Solanum lycopersicum: one gene and its partners. The protein of the gene in region 2 binds, or shares a complex with, the protein of the main gene of each other region. Links are inferred from orthologs where the notes say so. Each region holds a gene or a part of one and is shown on either strand. Other genes may lie near its edges.

What was found. Proteins that work in one complex are often made in the same cells at the same time.
Region 1: mediator of RNA polymerase II transcription subunit 16 (region 2) and mediator of RNA polymerase II transcription subunit 27 share a complex: the UniProt entries of both Arabidopsis thaliana proteins name them as parts of the mediator complex. The link is inferred for Solanum lycopersicum from reciprocal best matches to the Arabidopsis thaliana genes SFR6 and AT3G09180.
Region 3: mediator of RNA polymerase II transcription subunit 16 (region 2) and mediator of RNA polymerase II transcription subunit 31 share a complex: the UniProt entries of both Arabidopsis thaliana proteins name them as parts of the mediator complex. The link is inferred for Solanum lycopersicum from reciprocal best matches to the Arabidopsis thaliana genes SFR6 and MED31.

What each region holds. Positions count from the first base shown.
Region 1 is NC_090800.1:77,927,303-77,935,534, forward strand, and holds the start of mediator of RNA polymerase II transcription subunit 27, read left to right. Parts: upstream 1-2,895; 5' UTR 2,896-3,206; intron 3,207-6,899; 5' UTR 6,900-6,960; coding exon 6,961-8,196; 3' UTR 8,197-8,232. UniProt on the Arabidopsis thaliana protein: Component of the Mediator complex, a coactivator involved in the regulated transcription of nearly all RNA polymerase II-dependent genes.
Region 2 is NC_090801.1:59,365,520-59,373,239, reverse strand, and holds the end of mediator of RNA polymerase II transcription subunit 16, read left to right. Parts: coding exon 1-14; intron 15-740; coding exon 741-977; intron 978-1,134; coding exon 1,135-1,306; intron 1,307-1,412; coding exon 1,413-1,894; intron 1,895-2,012; coding exon of another isoform or gene 2,013-2,051; exon of another isoform or gene 2,052-3,276; intron 3,277-3,328; exon of another isoform or gene 3,329-3,488; intron 3,489-3,594; coding exon 3,595-3,771; intron 3,772-4,053; coding exon 4,054-4,422; intron 4,423-5,497; coding exon 5,498-5,644; 3' UTR 5,645-6,398; downstream 6,399-7,720. UniProt on the Arabidopsis thaliana protein: Component of the Mediator complex, a coactivator involved in the regulated transcription of nearly all RNA polymerase II-dependent genes.
Region 3 is NC_090802.1:52,517,104-52,525,262, reverse strand, and holds mediator of RNA polymerase II transcription subunit 31, read left to right. Parts: upstream 1-2,822; 5' UTR 2,823-2,976; coding exon 2,977-3,014; intron 3,015-3,098; coding exon 3,099-3,196; intron 3,197-3,385; coding exon 3,386-3,482; intron 3,483-3,647; coding exon 3,648-3,726; intron 3,727-4,116; coding exon 4,117-4,394; intron 4,395-4,548; coding exon 4,549-4,564; 3' UTR 4,565-4,615; intron 4,616-4,787; exon of another isoform or gene 4,788-5,531; intron 5,532-5,986; coding exon of another isoform or gene 5,987-5,990; 3' UTR 5,991-6,523; downstream 6,524-8,159. Other genes in the region: polyadenylate-binding protein 1, read left to right, coding at 1,350-1,395. UniProt on the Arabidopsis thaliana protein: Component of the Mediator complex, a coactivator involved in the regulated transcription of nearly all RNA polymerase II-dependent genes.

The sequences.
Region 1 (8,232 bases), on a different chromosome or scaffold from region 2:
TGATGCCAGTTGGACCAGATATGTCTAGCACTCCTTCTCTGCTCACTATCTGGTAGCAACTCACATAAAGCTGGTACAAGGCCCTATGTAAGCAGTTGTAGCACAAACATTAAAAAGTATTAGCAACACAAGAAAAAAAAATAATAGAACAATAGTCAGTCCATGTTCTATGCCTAAGTTCAAATCTTCTATCAAGTACTTGAGAAAAAAACTCCAACTATGTTTTGTCTCTGTGTCAACAACAGCCCATGCGATTGGAAACATCTGGTGATTTCCATTTCTACCAACAGCAACCAACAATTCTCCCTTGCAAGAACCCTTCAGAAAACATCCATCAAAACCAATAATTTTTCTGCATCCTTCCAACCACCCCCTCTTCAATGCATCAAAGCAAACATAGAAGTAAACAAACAAAGTTTTTCCTGGCTGAGACTCTCTATCTGTCCTCACCCAACAGGAAGTACCAGGATTAGTATGTTTAATCATGTCTGCATAATCACACAATCTTGAAAATTCCATCTTCCAATCACCTAAGAACTCCTTGATAATCCTTTTTTTTGCCCTATGACAAACAATTCTTCCAACATATAACCCAAATTTTTTTCTCACCAATTCCTGAATTTTCCATAATCTTATATATGGTTGACAGGTTATTTCATCCTTGAACTTTTCTGCAACAAACTTAGATGTACACAACTTGTTCTTGGTCGATTGAGGACATACATGCACAGGATAATAATTTTTGACAACAAAATCACCAGAATCTTTATCTATACTAGCAAACAGCAACCATTTACATTTCTTGTCCTCACATTTAACTCTAACTCTTTTTTTGTCATTAGGCTTCAATTTTAACCTAGTTTTATATTGACAAGAATAGTCTGCAACAGCTTTTCTAAATTGTTCAGCACTTTCAAACACCATACCAAGCTAAAAAATTGCTACAACACAATCAGGATCAAATCTTACCTTTTTACTTTTTCTTGTTCTTGGTAAATCAACACCCTTCACAAATTCTGAATCAAATTCATCCCTACTGTCTTCACTGTCCAATTCTGAGCTATCTATATATTGCTCATCACCCCCTAGTATTCCAGTGTATCTAGCAGTCTTATTCCTTCATATGTCTTCAAAGCCTCTATCAACACCAGCTGTTCCAAGCTTTATTTCCTCAGTTTGACTAGGTTTTTTCTTTTTCACTTTGTTTCTCCTTTCATTTCTAAGAGATCTTAATTCTTCATCAACCTCAGAGTCATCCACATTAGGAATAGCATCCTCTTGAGAGTCATCACTACTTTCTTCATTTGATTCAGTCCATTCCACATCTAGATCTGATATATCTCCTGGCTCAACTTCCACATTAACATTTTCAGATTCAGCCTCATGATTCAACCCTTCACTTGCAGTCACATTTATATCTTCTAAGTCTTCTTCAACGACAGACCCACAAAGCAAACCTGTTGTGACCACTTCTACATCATCCACCACATGCTTTACATAAATGTCTAAAAAGTCACCATCTTTTAGGTCTTTGATGAGATTTACTAATGTTAAATCAATGTCCACCTCAATAAAGCCATTTTTGTGGGGTCTTTAACACAGAACCCACCAACAATAATATACCCCAATTGTTTAGTGTAAAAAAGTAACTCAATTATTGAGAAGTGGTCCTTGTCGATATTAACATATTCCACCTCGACTTTCCCTTTATAAGTAATTCCAGTTTTGTCCTGAATAAACTTACCACCATGATGAAAACGAGTTATAATAATGGCGTCCATAAGATTCCCTGAAACAAGGCTCCAAATTTTTCTGACAGTTATGAACAATAAAAACCAAAAAACCCTAACTTTATCTAGATATTAACAACAACAACCACATTGATACTAAAACCCAGTATATATCAATAAAAACCACAGGATAAACACATATATTAAAAACACACAACCACAACAACATGCTCGTCACTTACCTCACACTCGTCAACTCGAAAATCGCGAATGAACTCCAAAATCGTCTGCAATCTTCGATGATTCCTTCAACAAAACACTCGAAATCACTTTAAAATCTAAGAATTTCAGTTGTAAAAGTCATTGAAAAGGAGAGATTCTTAGGGTTTTCTCGTTTAGAAACGGGTTAAAAGTGATTTGGGGGGGAATTGATTTTTAGGTTTGATGACATAATATGTGGCACTGACGTGTAATTGGGTTGGAGTGTATTGGTCAAAATTTCCACGTGGGGAAGGTTCATCTCACGCGCCTAATTACCAAAAATAATTTATTGAAATTTGACTCCACATCAGCCAAAAATATTTAAAAGGATCAAATTATAGGGGGTTAAAGGATTTATAGGAATCTTGGTTAGTTGAGGTACCTGGGGGAAAAGCGCGAACAACTTTAGGGACCTGCGTATGTATTTGGCCTATTTTTTTTCTTCAAAAATCTTGTATGTATTTATTTTAATATATATTTTATTTGTATTTCTATTTATTATAGTTTTTATTTAGAATTTTGTATAATAATATATAAAACACAAAAAAATTAGTATGATGAAAAAGTGAATGAAATAAAAAATTGAAAAGAAATAATTAAATATTTGGTGTACTCATTCTTAAATAAAATACATAACAGTTGACATACCTTTAGAATAAATACAAATTACAAAAAAAAAAGTCAAATTCAGAAACAATGCAATATAATTTTTGAATGAATACAACTATTAATTGTAAAAATTGACTAATATTATTAAAATATGGATATTATCACTAAATAAGTTGATTTTTTTGACTAGTTAGCTAAATTTCCCTTTTTATTTTTGCTAAAAAAAGACTCCAAGGACATGAGTCTCTCACTTGGGCCCAACATTCAAAACCAAATCCGGCCCAAAACCATGACTGACCCGCCCCACACTATTTCTTCAGACCCCCACGCGCCCCTCTTCTCCATTCAGACCTAAATCGCAGCATCCCTAAAAGACGAAGAACCCTAGTTCGGTGCGGCATCTCTTCATACACTACGCCGTGATTGGCACAATTTCTTGTACCGCTCAAAGATTTTAGAAACTCTTCGATGGTATTGTGTTGTAATTTACCAGAAACTGTGCCTCACTGCGAGTCTACGACCAGCGACATTGCCTGACTTTCACGATTTCTATTGACGGCTTTGCAATCTATCAGCATCTCAGTCTTTTCTTCCAAGTTTCAACTGGTAAGTTTTAATTTTCTGAATTTTAGTGCGACGATTTATGAGTTCCATAAAAATATACTGATTTCTGTTCATCTAGCAAAGTGACCTGTATTGTCATGAGACCTGATATGAATATTTTGTTAGATTGTTTCTATGCAGAAGTTGATATGCACCCGCAGTTAATAGATCTTTGGCAAAACTTTCACTTTTCAATGGTGGCAATACACAGTGATATAGGATGACTTTTAGTTTAGGGAGTGTTATCTTAGAATCACATTAGAACTATCAAGTCAAAATTAGCTCCATTAGGCTTTATTTTTTTTGGTTATTTGACAAGTCACAAGAAGGCTAAAAAAGCCTTGAAAGTTCTTGAGCCTTGGTGAAGAATTGTTTAAGCATTTAATAACTCATTTGTTTACTCCTGCTGACATAACAAGTGTCTGAGGAAATTCATTGTCCCCTTCTTGTTGCTTAGAATGAGTAAGCAGGTTACGTGGCCATACACATTTTTTAACTTGAACTGCTAATTGTTCGATAATCTGATAACTGGTGGCCTCTTCCTACTTTGAACAGCTCAGTTTACCCCCAAAAAATAATGCATTGCATGGGAATCAACCTCTTCAGGCTGCATACTCTAGGGATAGACATCAATTGGTCTGATCTCAAAGTGCATTGGAGCAAACACCTCTATACAATTGTATAACCATTTTTGGTTTCTACTTGGATCAGAAAGTTTGATGTATTTTATTTTCTTTAAATGTTGGACACCAAGAAGTCATGCAAACAGCAACCTATTAGTTTGTTTCTCCTTGGTATCCTACAAGTTGTGGCGATTCAAAGTCCCCTACTTTTTCCTTTCATGAGAATGTAGGCTACGATAACCGGACATCTCTATTCAGTTATCTTTACAGAAGCTACTAATCTATGATAAACTAAACTTGTTGCCTCTATTTTGCTCGTTATGTCCTTCATGCGGCTCTGAGAAATTTGATTGCCTTTTATTTTCTTTAAGCGTTGGACACCAAGAAGACATGCAGACAACAACCTATTAGTTTGTTTCTACTTGGTGTCCTACAAGTTGTGGAAATTCAAAGTCCCCTACTTTCTCATTCTCATGAGAATGTAGGCTACGATAACCCTACATCTCTATTCAGCTATCTGTGTGGAAGGTACTTATCTATGATATAGTGAACTTCTTGCCTCTCTTTTGCCTCTTTAAGAGATACAGCCTTCATGTGGTTCAGGGAAGTTTCATTGGCTTTTATTTTCTTTAAACGCCGGACACGAAGAAGACATGGAAACAGCAACATATTAGTTTGTTTCTCCTTGGTATCCTATATGTTGTGGGTATTCTAAGTCCCCTACTTTCTCCTTCTCATGAGAATGTGGGCTACGATAACCCTACATTTTTATACGGTTAACTTTACAGAACCTACTAATCTATGATATTTTAACCTAGCTGCCTTTTCTTTTGCCATCTACCTCAAGAGTTCCTTCATCTGGTTGACGAAATGTCTTTAGTTTGTTTAGGTGTCGGACTCCAAGAAGACTTGCAACGAATAAACTATTAGTTTGTTTCTCCATGGTATTCTACATATTTTGATGATTCATAGTCCCTTAATTGCTAGCTGTCTTTTCTTTTGCCAGTTCCTTCATCTGGTTGACGAAATGTCTTTAGTTTGTTTGAGCGTCGGACACCAAGGAGACTTGCAACAAATAAACTATTAGTTTGTTTCTACATATTTTGATGATTCCTAGTCCCTTACTTTTTATTCGGAAGTTTTAAGCTCTGATCATTTATGCTTTTGGCCTCAACCTGAAAAACCATTACACATTATCTCATCCCTTGCGTTCTATATAGCTAACAATTAGCATTCACTTGTTGGAAAGAGAATGAGGAATTTGCTGATTGGGAGCTGTATTGTTGGAAAGTATGAAGTTTTGATAGACTAAAAGATAGAACCACAGTTGTATTAGATGGGAAGAGCTGTTTCTATAGCAGGAATTTGAGTTATTCTTTTATAGAGTAATTGTGCTGAAAGTCTGTCCATTAGAAAGGCTTGTGCATTTCTTTGTTATGTTGGAAATGATACTGAGTATGTTTTCTATTGTGATTCTTTCTAGTCTTCTGTGAATACTTCTCTCTTTCTACTTTTCTTTGTAGTTGTTTCGTCCTCCCAGAAACTTAGGTTTCTATCTCTTCTAATGCATTTTCCTCTTTGGTTGTCCACGATCCACTTTCTTGTTTTTATTGTTTCACAATTATTTTGACATGAATACTATAGTTCTCCAGATGTGTACTGGTTTTTTGGTTTTGGGCTTTTGGCTTCCATTTTAGGATTTTAATTTTTTTTGAAACAATTACCATGTTTTTATTTGGTCAACTGATAGTTTCCCTGTTTATTATTAAACATACAAGAACTGACTTACAAAGTTGAAATCTTTCCAATCTACATAGTCGAAGACACCTTGGCTTTATTTTTGCACAGCAGTTTTCCAACTTTTGAAGATAATCTTCCACAAAGAGCAATTGGATGGGGTGAAAAGGCTTGATAGAAAAAGGATGGAGTGGAAAGGATAATTGTATATGGCACGTTCTCTTCCCTTTATGGAAGAAGTTGGCTGTATAGGTTAACGGCAATATATTTATCAAACTACTGAAGTAGAAGCTACATATTTTGTGTCTTAACATAAAAGACTTTCCTGAATCTGAAAGCATTGGAACTTCAAAGTCATTATTCCCATCCCCCATCCCCCATTCCTACCTTTTCTTGATAGAAGAGGGAAATCCACTACCTGTCACTTAAACTATATATATGCACTTAACAGACTTTGCTGTGCTTGCATGTCAAGATGGATAGATCACATCGAAACCCCTAAAGTCTGAAAAAAAATGATGACAGAAAATATTGAGTGATGGTTTCTTATATCCAATTGTCCTACAAAATTTTTCTGTTGAATATATTCCTCCTTCAATGTGGAAAAGGAGGTTATAATCACACGTACATCCTCTTAGTGTGTCGCTGTATAATTTTGTGAAATATGGAATAGCTGTAGAGACTCTTCTCTTTTTTTCAATTTGTGGGTCCTTTGTTCATACAATACAATTGGACAAAAAAGGAATGCAAAAAATACCAAGTGATTGTTTGTTGTATCCTGTTGTCCTACAGCATATGAGTGATGAACAGTCTCCTTCTTTAGAGTGGAAAAGGAGGCTACAGTTACTCAGACAACCTCTTTACATGTTGCTATAATTATCTATATGGAATAGCTGTAAAAATCCTTTGCCCCCTCATTCTGGGGGTATATTGTCCGAGCTGTACAGTTGGACAAAAAATACAGAGTGATTGTTTGCTGTATCAAGTTGTCCTATAAAGTTGAGTGATGAACGGTCTCCTTCTTCAAAGTGGAAAAGGAGGCTACAATCATTCGTACGTCCTCTTAGCTTGAGGTTCTGGTTCATTTTTGCTTTCCTTCGCTACTTTATGTACTTGTTCCTTGTTTTATGGGGTTCTTGGTAGGATTTTAATTCTGAAGCACGATAGTAGATATCACTTGCATGTTTAAAGCTAGGTGATGTCAAAATGAGTTTGTTGAGGTGACCGTTGAGACTTTGGAAATATGATGTGATGAATTGTTGTTATTGAACCGTCTTTTATGGTTACTGGTTGAGGTGGACTCTCACTCAGTTCTTTTTTCCAAAAATGAAAACAGCACCTCATCCACGGAGCATAATTGCCAATAATAAAACCTCCCAAGGTTCAGACTTGCATAAATGCAGCAATCAACACTATCATCACACACGTCGGCGGTACAAGGAGCTTCAGCTGCGGAGTCCAATGAGATGAGTGGAGATGCGCCGCCAAAGCAGGTGGCAATGGCACTGGAGCGACTGGGGCAGGCGAGTCGACTCATAGCTGATATTAGAATTGGCGCAGATCGGCTGTTGGAAGCCCTATTTGTGTCAGCTCAGCGGCAACACTCTTCTAAACCTTTGCATCTTATCCACAAAGAAGAAGCTTCCATGAGACAACACCTTCAAGAGCTTCGCTCTGTTGGAAGACAGTTAGAAGATTCTGGTGTCCTCAATGATTCCCTCCGATCACGAAGTAATTCATGGGGCCTCCACATGCCTTTGGTTTGTCCTGATGGTGCTGTTGTTGCATATGCATGGAAGAGACAACTTGCTGGTCAGGCTGGTGCATCTGCAGTTGATAGGACCAGGTTAGCTCTCAAGGCCTTCAATGGTCAGAAAAGACGATTTTTCCCCCACCTTGATACCAATTATGGTGGGGAGGGTGTGACAAAGAAACTTCGTGGTCCTCCATCAAGTGATCAAGAAGAAACTTGTGAACTGAAATCAGTGTCTGAAGTTTTGACACATCTGAAAAAGGAGGTCTCAAATGTAATAACATTCTCTTACCGGCGTTTGGATTGGTTGTTGCGAGCTACCTCATTGCCCTCTTCGACCAGTGAAAATTCTATTGAATTATCAAAAGAGAGTACTTTCCAAAGCACGAGAACATTAAGACAAGGATCATCTGATGATGATGTTTCAGACAAGGTTGCTATAATCGAATTGTTGATTCCTTCTGTTTTTAGAGCCATAGCATCAGTTTCCCCTGCTGGTTCCTTGGATCCCGACGCTGTAGCATTCTTCTCGCCAAACGAGGGTGGTAGCTACATTCATGCGAGGGGATTCTCCGTTCATCATGTATTTAGGCACATCACGGAGCATGCTGCTATGGCTTTACAGCATTTTACAGGTGTTGGTACTGAGTCACCCTTGCTTTCTTTGCTGCTGTGGGTTTGCAGCTATCAGACTTTGTTCTCGAAAGCTTGCAGCAAGTGTAGCCGTCTACTATCAATGGACAAAGAGTCTGCCATGCTACTGCCCCCTGTTAATCGCCCTTACCGAAACTTTTCTGCTGGAAAATTCTTGTCAAAAGAGGAGCCAAGTGTGGATTCTAGTCAGTGTTTTCACATCGACTGCTTTTCTGAGGAAGCATAGAAAAATCAGCTCCATTGTACAAAGAAATTCCGAACC
Region 2 (7,720 bases):
AGCAGTATGGACCGGTGTGTTTCTTTTATTTAATTCCAACTTCAAGCCTATCATTTGCATATGAGGAAATTATCATCCTGGTGTATCATTGAAGTACATGTTGTAAATACTGACCAGTACAGTTTTAGTACTGACTTTTGAGGAATAGACAAAGTTACCAATTTCAAAAAAAATAAAATATATCATCCTGGTGTATCAAATTGGATGGATACTTGTGACAATATAGCAATTACGTGAAGATATCGAATGTTGCATTTCACATTCCGCTCATCTTTTTTTTGCTTTGCTTTCTCTATATGAGTTTTGCTCTTGCATGATATCAGTCTGACTTTGGAGAAGATAATGGAGCAGTGTATGGATTACACTTCTAATTATTTTCCATCTTGAGAGCATGAGGATCAAATTTGCTTAATTTAACATATGAATTACAACACTTCCTCTATTACGATAGATGGCAATGTAACTAATTTTTGTTTCTCTCGATCATATACTAGTCTAATAGTGTGTTGTGTGGAAGATTGTGTCTTTGTGTTTGTGTCATGTATGTACTTATCAGATATTGGATCATGTTTTTCTATCATTCAATCTGTGCATGCATACATACATACAAGTAGTTCTTGAATTTTAAAACTGTGTGTTTATTTCATGATTTCATCAAAGTTCATTCTCAGGAATGTATTATGAGTTCTCCTGTTCTTGGATATCGTTGAATGTTGATATATCTCATCCGTATAATGCAGAGTCTAGACAGGATAAAATGCAGGCTTCTAGAAGGTACAAATGCTCAAGAAGTCCGGGCAATGGTGCTTGACATGCAAGCAAGATTGTTGCTAGATATGCTTGGCAAGGGAATCGAATCAGCTTTAACAAACCCATCAGCATTGGTTCCGGAGCCATGGCAAGCTTCTAGCGAGACACTGTTTGGTATTGATCCTGAGGCGATGGCTGTTGAACCATCACTTGTGCCAAGTATCCAGGTATTTTCTTACACTTGTCCGATGTACCTCCACCCACTGGTTTCCCGCTATTGGATAGATGTCTTGGTGATCATCACCTTTCTGTATGTGTAACCAAGGACGTCTATTTCTGCGTTCAGTGTTTGAGTTTCTCAAGTATTGGGATGATTTAATTCAGGCATATGTAGATGCGATACTGGATCTGGCGTCTCATTTCATCACGCGCTTACGGCGCTATGCAAGTTTCTGCCGTACATTGGCTAGTCATGCTGTTACTGCAGGTACAGGTGGGAGTAGGAGTATGGTGACTAGTCCTACTCAAAGTGCTTCATCTCCTGCCACTTCCCAGGGTTAGTTTGTTTGCTTCTCTGTTATGTGCTGTTAAGGTATATCCCTTCCTGGATCCAAGAATCCACATCTCTTCTCTGAGCTAAACCAGGGGCCTCTTCTTTTCAGGTGCTCAGGGTGGTACTGCAAGTTCTGCTGGGAGCACTCAGATGCAAGCTTGGGTACAAGGAGCTATAGCAAAAATTAGCAGTACAGCCGACAGTGTTCCTAGTTCAGCCCCAAACCCCATCACTGGTCCTTCTACATTTATGCCGATAAGTATCAACACTGGCACTTTCCCTGGAACTCCGGCTGTTAGGCTTATAGGGGACTGCCATTTTCTTCATCGGCTATGTCAACTTCTGCATTTCTGTTTTTTCTTCCGTGGAACACAATTACCGCGTTTTATGGGGGCTGCTCAAAGGAATGCTGATTCTTCAATGCAAAAACCTCAGTCCGGTATTCCAGGCAAAACAGAAGATTCCAACTCTGGTGCAAAACCAACGCTAGGCGGTCAGGTTGGAACAGGAGCAAAGGGGTCTGAAGAAGGTCCATCTAAACGGTCTAGGATTGGTTCTGGAAATGCTGGTCAAGGATACACATATGAGGAGGTAAACTTTATAAACTATTAATTTACCAGTTGCTCTTGTTTCTCCTTGAACTGTTCTTTGTATTGGATTGCTATACTTTTATCACTCCATTTTAGAATAATTCTCAATTTCCATGTAGCACCAAATTGGTGGTTTCAGAATAGCCGGAGACTCCTAGTGGTATCCAAGTCTCAGAATTTGGTGCATTATGAGGGGCAGCAGACTGATGATTTAAGATATATTCCTCACTGTTGAAAACAAAAGAATTGCCTAGGTTTCTATTTGAAGTCACCCAAAAGTATGGCAAAAACACCCTTCTTTCTCAGCTGCCTGGATACTTCCAGAAGCTATTTTTTTTTCTTTGGCTGCATGGGTGAGGCCAACTACATGGGTCAGCTACGTGGCCTACTCAGATTTTTCCCTTTGCTCTTTTAACCAATTTTTCTTCAACTTTTGGTCTTCATGTCCAATTTTATCAAGTATTGGAAGCTATTCTAATCCTTATTCTCTTCAAAGGCTCCCAAAAATGGAATTATGTCATCCAAACCATTATTAGTCCATTAATCTTGCAAATGGGAATGAATTTATCATTAAAAGGTAGCATAAGTTGGCAAAGATGCCAACTTATCGCTGTCCAATGAACTGCACCAAGGAGTGGAAGAAACTTCCAATCAATGAAAGAGCAGATTCAAACTTAAACACCATTATATGCTGTGTAATGAGATTGCGAAGTTCACTTTCAAATCAGATTGGGAAAATTCATGGGAAAGAAATTCTTGAAGTTGGTTGGTTACTTGTTATGAGACAGCCAGGCTGTCCAGATGGGAAAGTCTCTGTCAAACAGGATCTTTTATATTCTCTAAATGGATTCTTCCACTGTTCTATCGAGCTGGTCGGAAACTTATTCTTGTTATGATATAGCAAGCAGGCTGATTATTCAGGTGAGGAGGTCCATGTTATCTCTAAATGTATTATTCAGTCGTCCTGTCTGAGAGATAAATGGACAGTAATAAATAACCACTATGGTTCAGCAGCTGATACAAATTATCAGAATGAAAAATATTTGAGAAACTTTTAGTGATTTTATCAGTTCATGAAGAGGAAAGAGCTAGTTCTCAATATTGAGTTAAGAAGCCAAAAAGAACTGGCTAAGAATCTGAACAAGAAATCTTGAGCTATCTAAGTCATGAAAGCAACAACTATGGGCAAGCTAGAAAATGATGAGAGCTCAAGAATGAATTTAATTTTTTTTGTCCCTTTACTTTATCTCTTTCTCTGATTTTCGAATGGTTATGTAGTGAATGAGAATCTTTTTCAGTTTAGTTGATCACTCTGACAACTCAATTTTAATTGCTAATGTAAGTATCTTACTTTGAGAAGTTTTGAATCAACAAGCTCTTCCTTATAGTCTTGTACTGTTATCTAATAATTGATATTTAGGCATTTTTTTTCTAGATTGTTGGTTATTGTCGAGGAATTATGAAATGGCTCATCGGTATGCATACTTATTTTCGAAGTTGTTGATTAGTCAAGGCCATACGTTTTGTGGATGTAAAGTTTCATATTGATGAAAGGAAGCCCTTGTGAGAAAGTAAAAAAATAATTGTTTTAGAAGGTAATGAAGTAGTGAAACGTGGATTTGGATGGCTATTGATATCTGGAAAGATGGCAGTGTTTCATCCTGTGGATAGAATATTGATTAATTTGATATTATATTGCAGGTGAAGGTCCTTTTTCTTATTCTGATGGATCTTTGTCGCCGGACTGCTGGTTTGGTACATCCGCTGCCAGTTTCTCAGGTTGGGAGCAACAACATTCAGGTCCGCCTTCATTATATTGATGGGAACTATACTGTATTGCCGGAAGTAGTTGAAGCTTCCCTGGGACCTCACATGCAGGTAGTTCACTTGAAGCTCCTTCCTAACATTCATAAACCTCATATCGGGTCATCCTTTTTCAATTATGTGCACTACAAGAAAATAAGATGTGAAAGAAAAATGTTTGTCGGGTGGGGGGAGTTCAGCTGTTTATATTTGTTGAGCTCATTGGGCCACTTTTGGTACTTCAAATCTCCTTGACAGGAAAAAGAACAGCAAACAACTTGAAAAAGACAACTCATGTAGGGATGGGTAGAAATCCCCATAATCCTTAGACACTTATCTCATTCCCCTTTCTTGCAGAATATGCCTAGGCCTAGAGGTGCAGATGCTGCTGGGCTGCTATTGCGTGAGTTAGAACTCCATCCACCTGCTGAGGAATGGCACAGGAGAAATATGTTTGGTGGACCTTGGTCTGATCCAGAAGATGTGGATGACAATTCTAAGCTTAGCCCATCAAGGGATTTGACACAGTACAGCTCATTAGAAAACTGTGATGTATATTATGGAGCTCATGGTTTGTGGCCTAGGAAACGCAGGATGTCTGAAAGAGATGCTGCTTTTGGGCTGAATACTTCAGTGGGGCTGGGTGCATATCTTGGTATAATGGGATCTCGACGAGATGTTGTGACAGCTGTTTGGAAGACTGGGCTTGAAGGGGTTTGGTACAAGGTTTGTCTGACTTTTGGATCTCTATATATCACTTGATTCAGTTTTTTGCTTTTATTCATTTTCTATGGCATCTCTTTGCATGAAGGCATAATGTTATAATTAAGCAAGTTGGATTGTGTATTGGAGAGAAATAACTAGGTCGGTGTCCCTAACGTGTGAACAACAGAAGTCAATCCTAACGTTTATTATGCACAAATTTAACTTGGATAAAGTCGACATATTTTTCTTGTTGAAATTATAACAAGATGTTATTTGAAATTGCTTTAATTCCTTCGTCTAAACAATGATCAATGTTTGTTTTGGTGTTGTGGTATTTTAGTTTCCCATATGTCTATGTATGCTATGACTTTCATTTCATTTCCAGAAAATGTCTAGGGATTTGCTCTCTTCATTCTGCATTTGAGTTGGGAGGTATTTTTATGTCATAAATGTTATATTTGCTACCTGTGTTGCACAAAAGTTTATTAATGATTTCCAAATGTTAACTCTTTCTATGGTGAGTGATTTTTAAATGCTAGGTTTATTAAGATCAAAAGGTTTTATTGTTCATTAAACAAATGATAATTGTTATATTTCAGTTTTCTACCCTCTATGTATGACACATGTATACAATCTAGTATTAGATTTTCATAGGTGCATATGTTTAATGCTGCAGAGGTCAACTTGTATGTTGGTGTTGAATCTACTTAATGTTGATCAGTTAATGGAAGTTAGTGTGTAGGCCACATCATGTGTTGTTTTGCTGATCGGTCCTTGGCTTTTCCGATGAAATAGTCAGTCAATCACTGTATTGTAACATCTGCCCAATGAGATAATTTGGGAAAAGCAAAACAAAGAAAAAAGCTTCACTCGAACTCTATTCTTCTTCCAGATTTAGTTTTAATTGCACTTGGCATTACTTTTCAATATAATTTTTTTTTTCTATTTAAGAGCAGATGGTTTGTAAACATAGTCTTATTCCTATAACTTTCGTTGCTGCAATGTCGATACTTCATTGATATAGAGTAGCACAACAGGAAATTTTGATCATAGTTTCAGTTTAGTTCTCAACTTACAGTGTTGACTTCTATTGCAGTGCATAAGATGTTTGAGACAGACTTCAGCTTTTGCTTCACCAGGTGGCAACCCTTCTGCCAATCAACATGAGAAGGAAGTATGGTGGATCAGCCGGTGGGCATGTGGCTGTCCCATGTGTGGTGGGACTTGGGTTAGAGTTGTATAGAGCATTGGAAGAGTGGGCATGTGGCTGTCCCATGTGTGGTGGGAGTTGGGTTAGAGTTGTATAGAGCATTGGAGTAGTTCACTAACAGTGGTTCTTCCAACTTCTGTGAACAGAAATGGTTCAGCACATGGAGACAAACACCTTTGACTCTGCCAGCTTATTGTGGATTTGTCACTCTGGTCATGTACTATACCTTAAAGATCAGTGTGAGTAGCGAGGCTGGTCCTGAAGTTGGGTAATTGGTATATTGTCTGATCTTACTTTCACTGGTATACGGAGAGAAGTTTCGGAAAGAAGTCAAGATGATTGAAACCCAGTTTTCTGGAAATGGTCATCAAATTTAGGAACTAAGAAAAAATCCACCCACTTGGACCAAGTTCTTTTGTCCAATGGGTTGAATATATTAGGTTTATCTTCCTAAACCAGAGTTTTTCTGGGGTTGTAGTTATGTATAATAATGACACACCTGTTGTTTATATGAGGGCAATCCCATTGCTCCAAGTAGACGTCAAGTAATCAGATTTGCTTCTGAAATGTCTCTCTCACCCTCCCCTGTTATTTCTGGTGACTATGGTTGCTGCGGTAGTTGTTGGTCTTAATAAATGAGTGGCAGGGTGTGTGGGTTGCCTTGGCTTGTTTTGCGTTGAAGGTCCTATACAAGTGTTTCTCTGTAATCCTCCTGGTTATACTTGTGCCAAATTGTCCTAGAGTCGACTAGCTCAGATATTGCAATAGTTTCTGGTTCAGTTTCTTAGACCGTGTCTCCTTGTGCTTGATTTCTTTGTGCGCTATTCTCTTGAGTTTTCCTCGGCGAGTAAAACCGATTCTATCTATTTATTAGTAAAATTGTAAGTGCCATTGGGTGGAATTTTTGCAAGATAACTTTATCTGTTTGAAACGTTATTGATGCATGAATTGTGAATAACCCAGATGGAATGAATGATGACTGGATTTGTAAATTATGTGCTTTGCTTCACTATCTTCGGTTACTTTAACAAAGAAGCCTATAGGACAAAATTAAAACTTTGAACTAATTAAGATGGTCTCTGGTTCAAATCGTAGTTTTCTGTCTCGTTTACTTCAATCTTTTAACAGTTCTGTTTCCTTAATTAAGAACCATGATTTATTAATGGGGAAGGACAAAGGGGTGTTAGTACAGTTGAAGTAAACCCTCCTAAATAAACAACGAAATTGTAGCATTAGCTATAGAGAACCAAATTAAAGATTGTTTGAACTCCTAGATCTAGATACCCACCTAACTTTTGCTGACGTTTCTACCACTTACAAAAGATGTTCATAGAGGCAAGACAGACTCTTGTCATAAGGAATAAGAAATAGGACGAAGACAATGAATGGAATGGTCCCAAAGTCACTAGAGAAGATTGAATGAGTCTTATCGAAGTTCCTATGGTAAATTGATAGCTTTTGGAAAAGAAAGGAAGGCGCTATTTCAATATGTAGAGGAACATCTAAAATAGAAATCATTGATTTTAAAAAGAATTTATTATTATAAGCCACAGCTGTAAGATTTATATCACTTCTCAAAACAGTCTCAATGTCAGTATGGAATGATATCATATATAAAACTTCCTGTTGGTACTTAAAGAATGAGATGGAAGTGTGACAAATGATATAATCTAACAAAGTATATATGAAGTCAACCTTCTTGTACAATTATCGATTATATTAATTCAAAAAGTACTCATATTGACCTGTTTAACAATTACTATTACAAAGAAAGAATGCGTAGAACATACAAGTGATATAATATAATTATTTTTACTGTTCTTCAACCATTACTATCTTCCTTCTACATTATATTGCAGGAATTTAAACCTTAAGACTTGCAAACTAGTACTTCTGAATGGTGTTATCGATGATTATTTCACAAAAGAACATCAAGTCCTCCTCTCCCACCCCTGCTTTGCATATACATCACAATCTTCTCTCTCAGCGATCACACGCTAAACCTGCAGCAAACAATGTAAAGCCAGATTCTTGAATACTCCCTTTCAAAAGTATTGGCCTTTTATTATCCCTTTGCCGGAAGATTAATCATGGATGATAAACGCTTCT
Region 3 (8,159 bases), on a different chromosome or scaffold from region 2:
TCAATAAACATTGGGCTAAAGCTCAGCTTATCTCCTTACTCTGCGAATTTCATTTAGGTACCAGTATCCTGTCAGTTTCAACTTCATAGATTTATCTATCACTCAATTTCTGAAGGAAGTCAAGTTGAAATTAATTGGTTGCCAACTTGGATACAGCCTACTCTGATGCCTTATGGGATCTGCACTTGCCACATATTCTACTTCAATACATGTTTGTTTGGCCTACACTGTTGCCCCTACATGAGCAGTAGTTCAGTGCTTCCTGCCTCCCAAATAAAATGGAATCTTGTGTTGTCTTTGGTTGGCTAGGTTTCTAGGCTTACACTTCCTTTAAACGAAGTAGGATTTTGGGTTTCTCGTAAAGCCAGAGCATGTGTCATGGTAATTGTGTTGATCTGAAATGGTAACTATTGTGTTTAATGTTCTTTCGAAGGGGTTACTTCTTTCTGTTGGTATTTTGACTAAATATTTCCTAAGCTTCTGGATTAGCAGCTCAGCTACTCAAACTAGTCTATTTTCAAGTTTATCAGTGTGCTACGGAAGATGAGCCTAGAGTCTCGTCTTATGATGGAAGGGTCTAGTCAGCAGTTCACTGAAATAAACTAGATGACTTATGTCTAATCCATTTTACACAATCACAGTTACCTATACCTATCTAAAATGCATCACTTGACTTTTTTTTTAAGACGTTGCATCACAACACAAGCAATGCATTCCGCGGCCGACTTTTTGTACTAGTCGTATGTGCCAAAATCAGCTGTTTTGTTTTTGCAACACTAATGCAAATGTTGGCAACAATGCTCCCTGTACTACTACCAGTTAAGTAATACAAAGTAAACCTTCAGAACTCCAAAAATAGGTGTTGTATCACTTAACTGTTAAATGAGGATAATTTAAAACTTACTTGTTGGGTATTTTGTTGCAGTAACACATGTCAACTTATATTGGTCCAACATAAGTTTTTTATAAGATTTGTTGAGTTGGATTTATTTCCTATTATCCTAACGAGTTCCCGATAGGCTGGTACTAATCGTTTTAATATCAAAGTGAACTTAAATTGGTGGGAATGCTTTTTATGCCCTTCAACAGAGAGCTGAACTTCCCTAGATTTAATGGAAGAATAAATTTTCAGATATTTGTTCATCTGGATTACAGTGTTCCTTCCTAAGTTGTCCTCCTTGACTCTTCACTTTTATAAGCTATAACTTAACAGTTGTGCAAATTTTACTCTCTTGTTTGATGTTCACTTTCGTTGTCATGTTTTGTCTTGACATAATTCAAGCTGATGCCTGCTTGATGATTACATCAAACTTTAGTTAACAAGTATTGTGTTGTCATCTTGTTTGCAGAAGGGTTCCAAGGTTCAGACGGTCCATCCGCTACAGGCCATACTAGTGAATTTTAAGCTGGATTGCAGCCTTCCCTAGAGAAGCATGGAGCTCGCTTTGTGAAAAGGGCATCTCCTTGTTTTACTCTCTTTGGTTGAGGGCAAAGGATGTTCTAATTCAAATAAGTCATTAGCTGACATAAATTTCAACTCTGTGGATGATGTTTTAGGTTCTGGGGATTGAGAATTTTTTTCTTTGCTAGCTTGCTCAGATGCTTGCATTTTGGGCAGCAAATGGAAAAGACAAATAAAATAGACAGTTTGTTGGAGATGGTCTGAATTATGTATGGTTGTGGTTTGGTCACTCTTAAGCTCCCCTCTCCTAAACCTCCTTATCCCCAACTTCAAATCCTAATAGCTACATGCAATAAGACCAATGGTGTTTAATTTTATTAAAGGACTATTTATTACTCCATGTTAGGGTAGATACAAAATGCTTTGGTATAGACAGAGATGAAGATTTTGTAGTGTATGGTAAAGCGTCTTGTTAATAGGAAAAAGCATGGACATACCAATTGAAGTAGTCCAAATTGGTAATTGTATAAAGGGTAAACAAATCTAAAATTTGGTTGGAAACATTGGTCATCGAAATATGATTTCGTAGTTGTAGGTCCAAAACCCCCAATTTCCATGCTCATTTTAGGCATGGTATTATGCACCTCTCTTTCATGACACATATATTCAGTTGTGGCCCGTAGACATGTTTCTTTGAGAAATAACCGAAACAGAGTCAACTTGAATTCAAGCTTATAAATATCAAAAGTGATATAAGATTTTTATTCCAAACCAAAATCATGAAGGTTGCATCCAAAATCGCCCTTTTTTTTTTAACCCCTTGGACTAAAATCACAATTTTCACATTTATATAACTACGAATTTAAGCTTAAAAATTCATGCATACTAATAAAAAACTGGTCAAAACTTAGATATAAAGCGCGCAAGCGAGACTCAAAAACGTGTTGAGGGCTTCGCGTCGCTTTATGTGCACTTTAGTGTCTTCACCAATGTTCTAAGGCAAACGTCACCTTACCAATGAGCCTCTTATGAGACAGTGAAGTTAAATCACTGATATTTCACTTTGTCATAATTATTTTCAATTTCTTTGATCATATATTTGACATATTCATGTTTATAGTTATTAGTTTTGGACTAAACATGCATACTTATACTCTTTTCCTCCCTTTGCGTCTTTTTTCATCAAAGCTTACATTTTATTTGCGCTTAAATTCCCCATGGATCGTAAGAGCTTTTTTGCGCTTTTCATCTTTAGTAACACTGGTATAATCACATATGAGAATTATGACTTCACTTAAAAAAAAGATTTCTAACCATTTCAATCTGATCGACTGTATAATCTAGGTGAGTAAATGAATCTAATGACACACTCATATTGAGCAAATAAAAATTAGGATCAAAATCAAATACAAGATGTCATTTTAACACTGAAATTTTATTTCAATATGAATTTAATCCATTTTTACATTACATCTTAAAAATGCAATGAATTTCAGACTTTCCTTTTGTATATATAGCGCAGCAATACAATCAACGGCTAACTTTGAAAAGTAGAATTAGTTAGGGTTTAGCGCATGGCTTCTACATCGAATCCAGAAACCCATGAATCACCGTAAGCAGAATCAATTCATCTCAAATCAATTTGCATCTTCGCAAATTCACATTAATCAACTGTTTTTTCTGTTCCAATTTGCAGGCAGAAAAGCGTCTATAAAGATCCCGATGATGGGCGCCAACGTTTCTTACTCGAACTCGAATTTGTTCAATGCCTTGCTAACCCAACTTACATTCACTGTATCTATCTATCTATTCCCTTCTCTTATTTAAACATGATGTTTTCTGGGTATTTACCAATTATTGTTAGTTTTATGTTATATATGTTGTTGGTGTGAAAATGAATATTGGGTTGCAAAAGCTTCAATTTTTCTATCCCTTTTTCATTTTTTGTTTTGTTTTGTGGACTTTGTATTGATTCTGATGCAGATTTGGCTCAGAACAGATATTTTGAAGATGAAGCTTTTATTGGGTACTTGAAGTACCTTCAGTACTGGCAACGACCTGAGTACATAAAGTTTATAATGTAAGTTAGTTTATAGTATTAATATGTGATAATAGTTATGTATGTTCTTTCTACTGCAACTTTTTAGATGCAGTGGATGATGGTCCTTGTTCCTTTTCTGTTTCCTGTGGACTATGGATATCGTTAACTAATCGTATTGGTTTTCCTTTCTTGATGTTAATGCAGGTATCCACACTGCCTATTCTTTCTCGAGCTTCTCCAAAATCCAACATTTCGTAATGCAATGGCTCATCCTGCTAACAAGGTAAAAAGTTATGTCATGTGTTGTCCTGGTTTCCTTCTCCACTTTTGCTATACTCTTTAGTTAGTTAAGACTGTCAGCCACTATAAAGAAGGTTCACCCCACTTTCTGTAAACACAGTTTCTATGGACTAAAAATGCTGCCAAAACACTTTATAATACATGGTACTTCATTGTCTTAGCCATTAGCCTTATTTCCATTTCTGAACTTTCCCGTAGTTTCTAGGCATAAAACTTATAATTATTTAATCGTGTTGTCGAGGTTAATTCTCGCCCCGAGGACATCTCATCTCATTTCACTGTTTATTATTTATTGCACTTTGTTTGCCAACCTAAAGTTCTGGCACATAAATCTGTGATAGGATCTGATCTACATGTTTGTAACAACTATTAGGAAGTAGCACATAGGCAGCAATTTTACTTCTGGAAGAACTACAGAAATAACCGGTTGAAACATATTTTGCCGCGGCCGCTTCCTGAGCCTGCAACTGCACCAAGTTCTGCTCCACCTGCATCACTACCATCAAGTGTAGCCCCTCCAACTGCTCCACCTCCTGCTCCTACACCTGTTACAGCTGCAGCTCTTTCCCCGATGCAGTATGCCATCCCTCCTGGATCTGGTCTTGCTAAAACGGACCCAAGGAATGCTTCTGTTGATCGAAGAAAGAGAAAGTATTTCCTCTCCTCTTTTACTTTTCTCTTACTGTGAAAACTTTGTCAATGCTTGTTGTTGCATGCTCCCTCTTGTTATGATTTTATATTTTAGGGTTAGATTTGTGACGTAATGTTTCTGAAATGGTTATTGACTTGGATAATTTTGTTTTAGCAGGAAAGACGGATAATTTTATTTTACTCATAGCACAGACCTCCTATCAACTAATTTATGAATTAAGGTAATACATTTTGCACCCCATGATTTCATTTTTCGAATAGGTGTTGCAGTTCCTCATTGGCAAACACATTAATGAAATCCTATTAAGAGTGTGATTTGTTGTTTATTGAATTTTAGAGTCCTTCCCAAGTCTCAAGCATGATCAATGACCTGTACTTTCTTTCTCATGTCAGAAAACATAGTGCTAAAGTTTTGCGAGAGATCAACTACACATTTGTTGGGTTCACTAGGATCAAATTTCTTTAAGAAATAAATGTAGAACTAATTTTATTCCCAAACCAAGTAACCAAAACAGAAAGGAAGCAGCCTGCCTTTGAACTCTTTTGGGATGCCCTCGTTTGTGGTTTCAATTGCTTAATTTTTTAGGCTTAGCTCAGACATCTGGTGATAGGTGACTGGAAGATTGCCAATGCACACTTATAGCAGTAATGGGTTATCAATGGAGTGAAGAATTCGAATCACCATATTGACATGTGAACTTCAGATTTTGATGATAAATGAAGGAGCAACTTCTCTAGTGTGGTCTAAGTATATGAACCTTTGCCTATAATCTATGGTAAATGGGAGGAGTATTTATGGTCTTTGATGCACTTCACTTGGGCAAGGTTACGGTCCCTCTCCTCGGCTAGCCTGTACGAATTCCTATAATCACCTTTGCCTTTGTAGTTATTCTTTCCCCTTCGACTGTTCCAATTCCGTGTCCTCAAAGTTGCAGGTACTGACTCTCAAGGGCCTACTGTCTTTCCAGAAAACTAACAAAAGAGGAACTTTATCCATTTGGCTTGAATTGGGTGGTGTGACACTTAAGAATCGGTACAACCTAGATCTATAGACCTGAAATTAAGTGCAGCACACAAAATTATATTAGCTGTATCACTTTCATTAACGGAATTCCAAGGATTTCATGTTATCACTCATCTCTTTTCTCGTTTTGGTCAAGTGAAGTGCTTCCCCATATATATTTATGAGTTTCAGTTTGAAACTATGCCGTGTGTCCTTTTCTCGACAAGATGTACTCTTTCCTATTTACTTAACACATAGTTCTCCAATGTAAAATCAAGTATTGTGCTTATACTTTATTCTGGTTGGTCAAATTGACCTAATTGCGACTTTGTGACGACTCATTAAACTTATATATGCTTAAGCGGAAAATTGGGTAATACTCCTATTGAGCATATGATGTGTTTCTTCCATTATCTTGATAATGTCAGTTCTTTAAATTTAAGAATGGCTTTTGGGTTCTATAGGAGCATTACACTGAACATATTACTTTGTGTTAAAATATTCTGATTATGCGTTGGTTCTTTAATCATCCTATAAAAGCTATGTTGCATCCTATTTGTGGAATCTAATTTCACAACCACACTTGTAGGTGATCATCCCTGGAATTAGACTACATCCTATGTTTAGAAAAGAAGTCAACCCTGTTTAATTGCTGATTGCAGTTTCAATAATGGAGCTTGGCAGTTGTATACTGCAATCTGGTGCACCCCAAAACAAAACAAAATTAGAAATTTTAGTTCTTCCTGCAGGCAATCACTCATCAGCTTACTCTTGCTGTCACCTGTTGTGCTGCTGAAGCTGATAGTAGTTCATGTGGTAGTTTAAGGAGCTAAACCTTGGAATTGTAATACCATCGAAACACCCATTTCTCTTCTCTCATGCTGGAGAAATGCATGCCAGCCAGCAATAGCTTATTATTGAGTAGGCCCAGTGTGCTACTACTTTAGTCTAATGAAGTCCTTGAATATGGTTTCTCATCCCTTATATGGAACTTTGAGGTAATATTATGTTGATGGTTTCTGGTGCAGTACAATTGAATTACAAGTGTTCTCTTGACAATGTTAATCTGGACAGCAAATATGGGTTAACCTGTTTGCAACCCATAATAAAACGTGTTATATACGGATTGAACGCGTGTCGAAGACAATTTAGAAATTTCTTGGTTTATCTGGTAGATGTAAGCGATAATACTGCATTCTAGAGTATTTGACTCGGATATGAGATGGTTTCTCCCTTTTCACTAGGAAAATTATACTTCACAAAGCAAAGGCTGGGTTTTAACTTTTACATATATCCACTCCTTTGTTCTTGTGGATAGTATCTCTACTTGTTTAAGTTGTTTACATGGATATGTCACATGGTTGACTCAGTTTGTGGTTTGATGTGGTTTTTGGTTCGATTTTGTTCACCTGATGGATAAAAACAACTAGCATTGTGCAATGCAAACTAAATCTTTTAGATACAACTGATGGAACTTTTGCGGTGGGAAGAGTTTTTCTTGTTGGGATGAGGCACAAGTACCTCCTAAACTTATTTTAATTTTAATTGGCATATATGAGACTTGGGAGGAGGGTGAAATATGAAGATGAAAAAAAAAAGAACTTGAAAGATATGAAGGTAATTAGTTAACTAAGATACGTTCTCTATGTTAGCATTTTATTATAACAATTAAGTATAGTTTGCATCAAATAATAACATTTTATTATAACAGTCAAGTATATTTTTCATCAAATAATATTTTATTATGAAAGTCAAGTATATTTTGCATGCAATTCGCCTTCCGGACACATTGTGTATTTTCCCGTCCTTTTAACCTACATTCGAATTAGGTCCACAAGTAAAAAGGTGCAATGTAACTTTCAATAAATGGTAGATAGTGGAGTCAATTAGGTCTAGCTTTATAATATAGTGTATCTTCCCATGATGCCATCCACATACAATCCACTCTAAGCAATAGAGCTTCGAGTTTCTTGATTGTTACTTCATCTGTCTCAATTTATATGACATATTTTTTTTTATTTAATTTAAAAAGTATGTTATATTTTTATATTCTAAACTACATCTTCTACTTATAGTTTGATTTGTCAAGAAATTTAAAGAAGAAACAATGAGCTTTTAAGTACTAAAGATATGTTTCCATATGATTGTTTGATCATGTCTGATTGGATAAATATTTTTTCTAAGGTTAAAACTTTGTAGACTAAAGCTTGGTAACTAGCACCAGTGAAAATGATATTCAAGTCGTTTAAAACAAGTGATAATTGAAAACGGAATGTGAACGTGTAAATAACTTTTACATTAATTATTTGATCGTGTTTTTGGTATTATGAATTTGAATGTCAACGTCAAATGATATTTACTTTTTACATTGTATACAAATTCCGCCTTCATCTTAGAAAAAATGCAAAAAATAAAAGAAAACTTGAGAGATGGAATATAATCAAATTAAATATTTGGAGAAATAAATTATTTTCCATTTCAGCTTTTATTCTTTTCTTTATTTATCGGTCAAAGATTCTATTTAATTTAAAATTTTAAATGAAAGGCTTTAGTCTCTACTATATGATAGGGAATATTCATCAATATTGGTTTCTGAATATTTTTCAAAAACGTGTTTTTTGTTTGGCTTTAATTTTTAATTATATCCTATAAATATAGTTGTGTATAAGTAGATACTTAAATTTGTATAAAAATTGAACAAATAAAAACATACGTCCCACGTAGAATCCTACCTTGTATCCTTCCACATAAGACACGTTTGT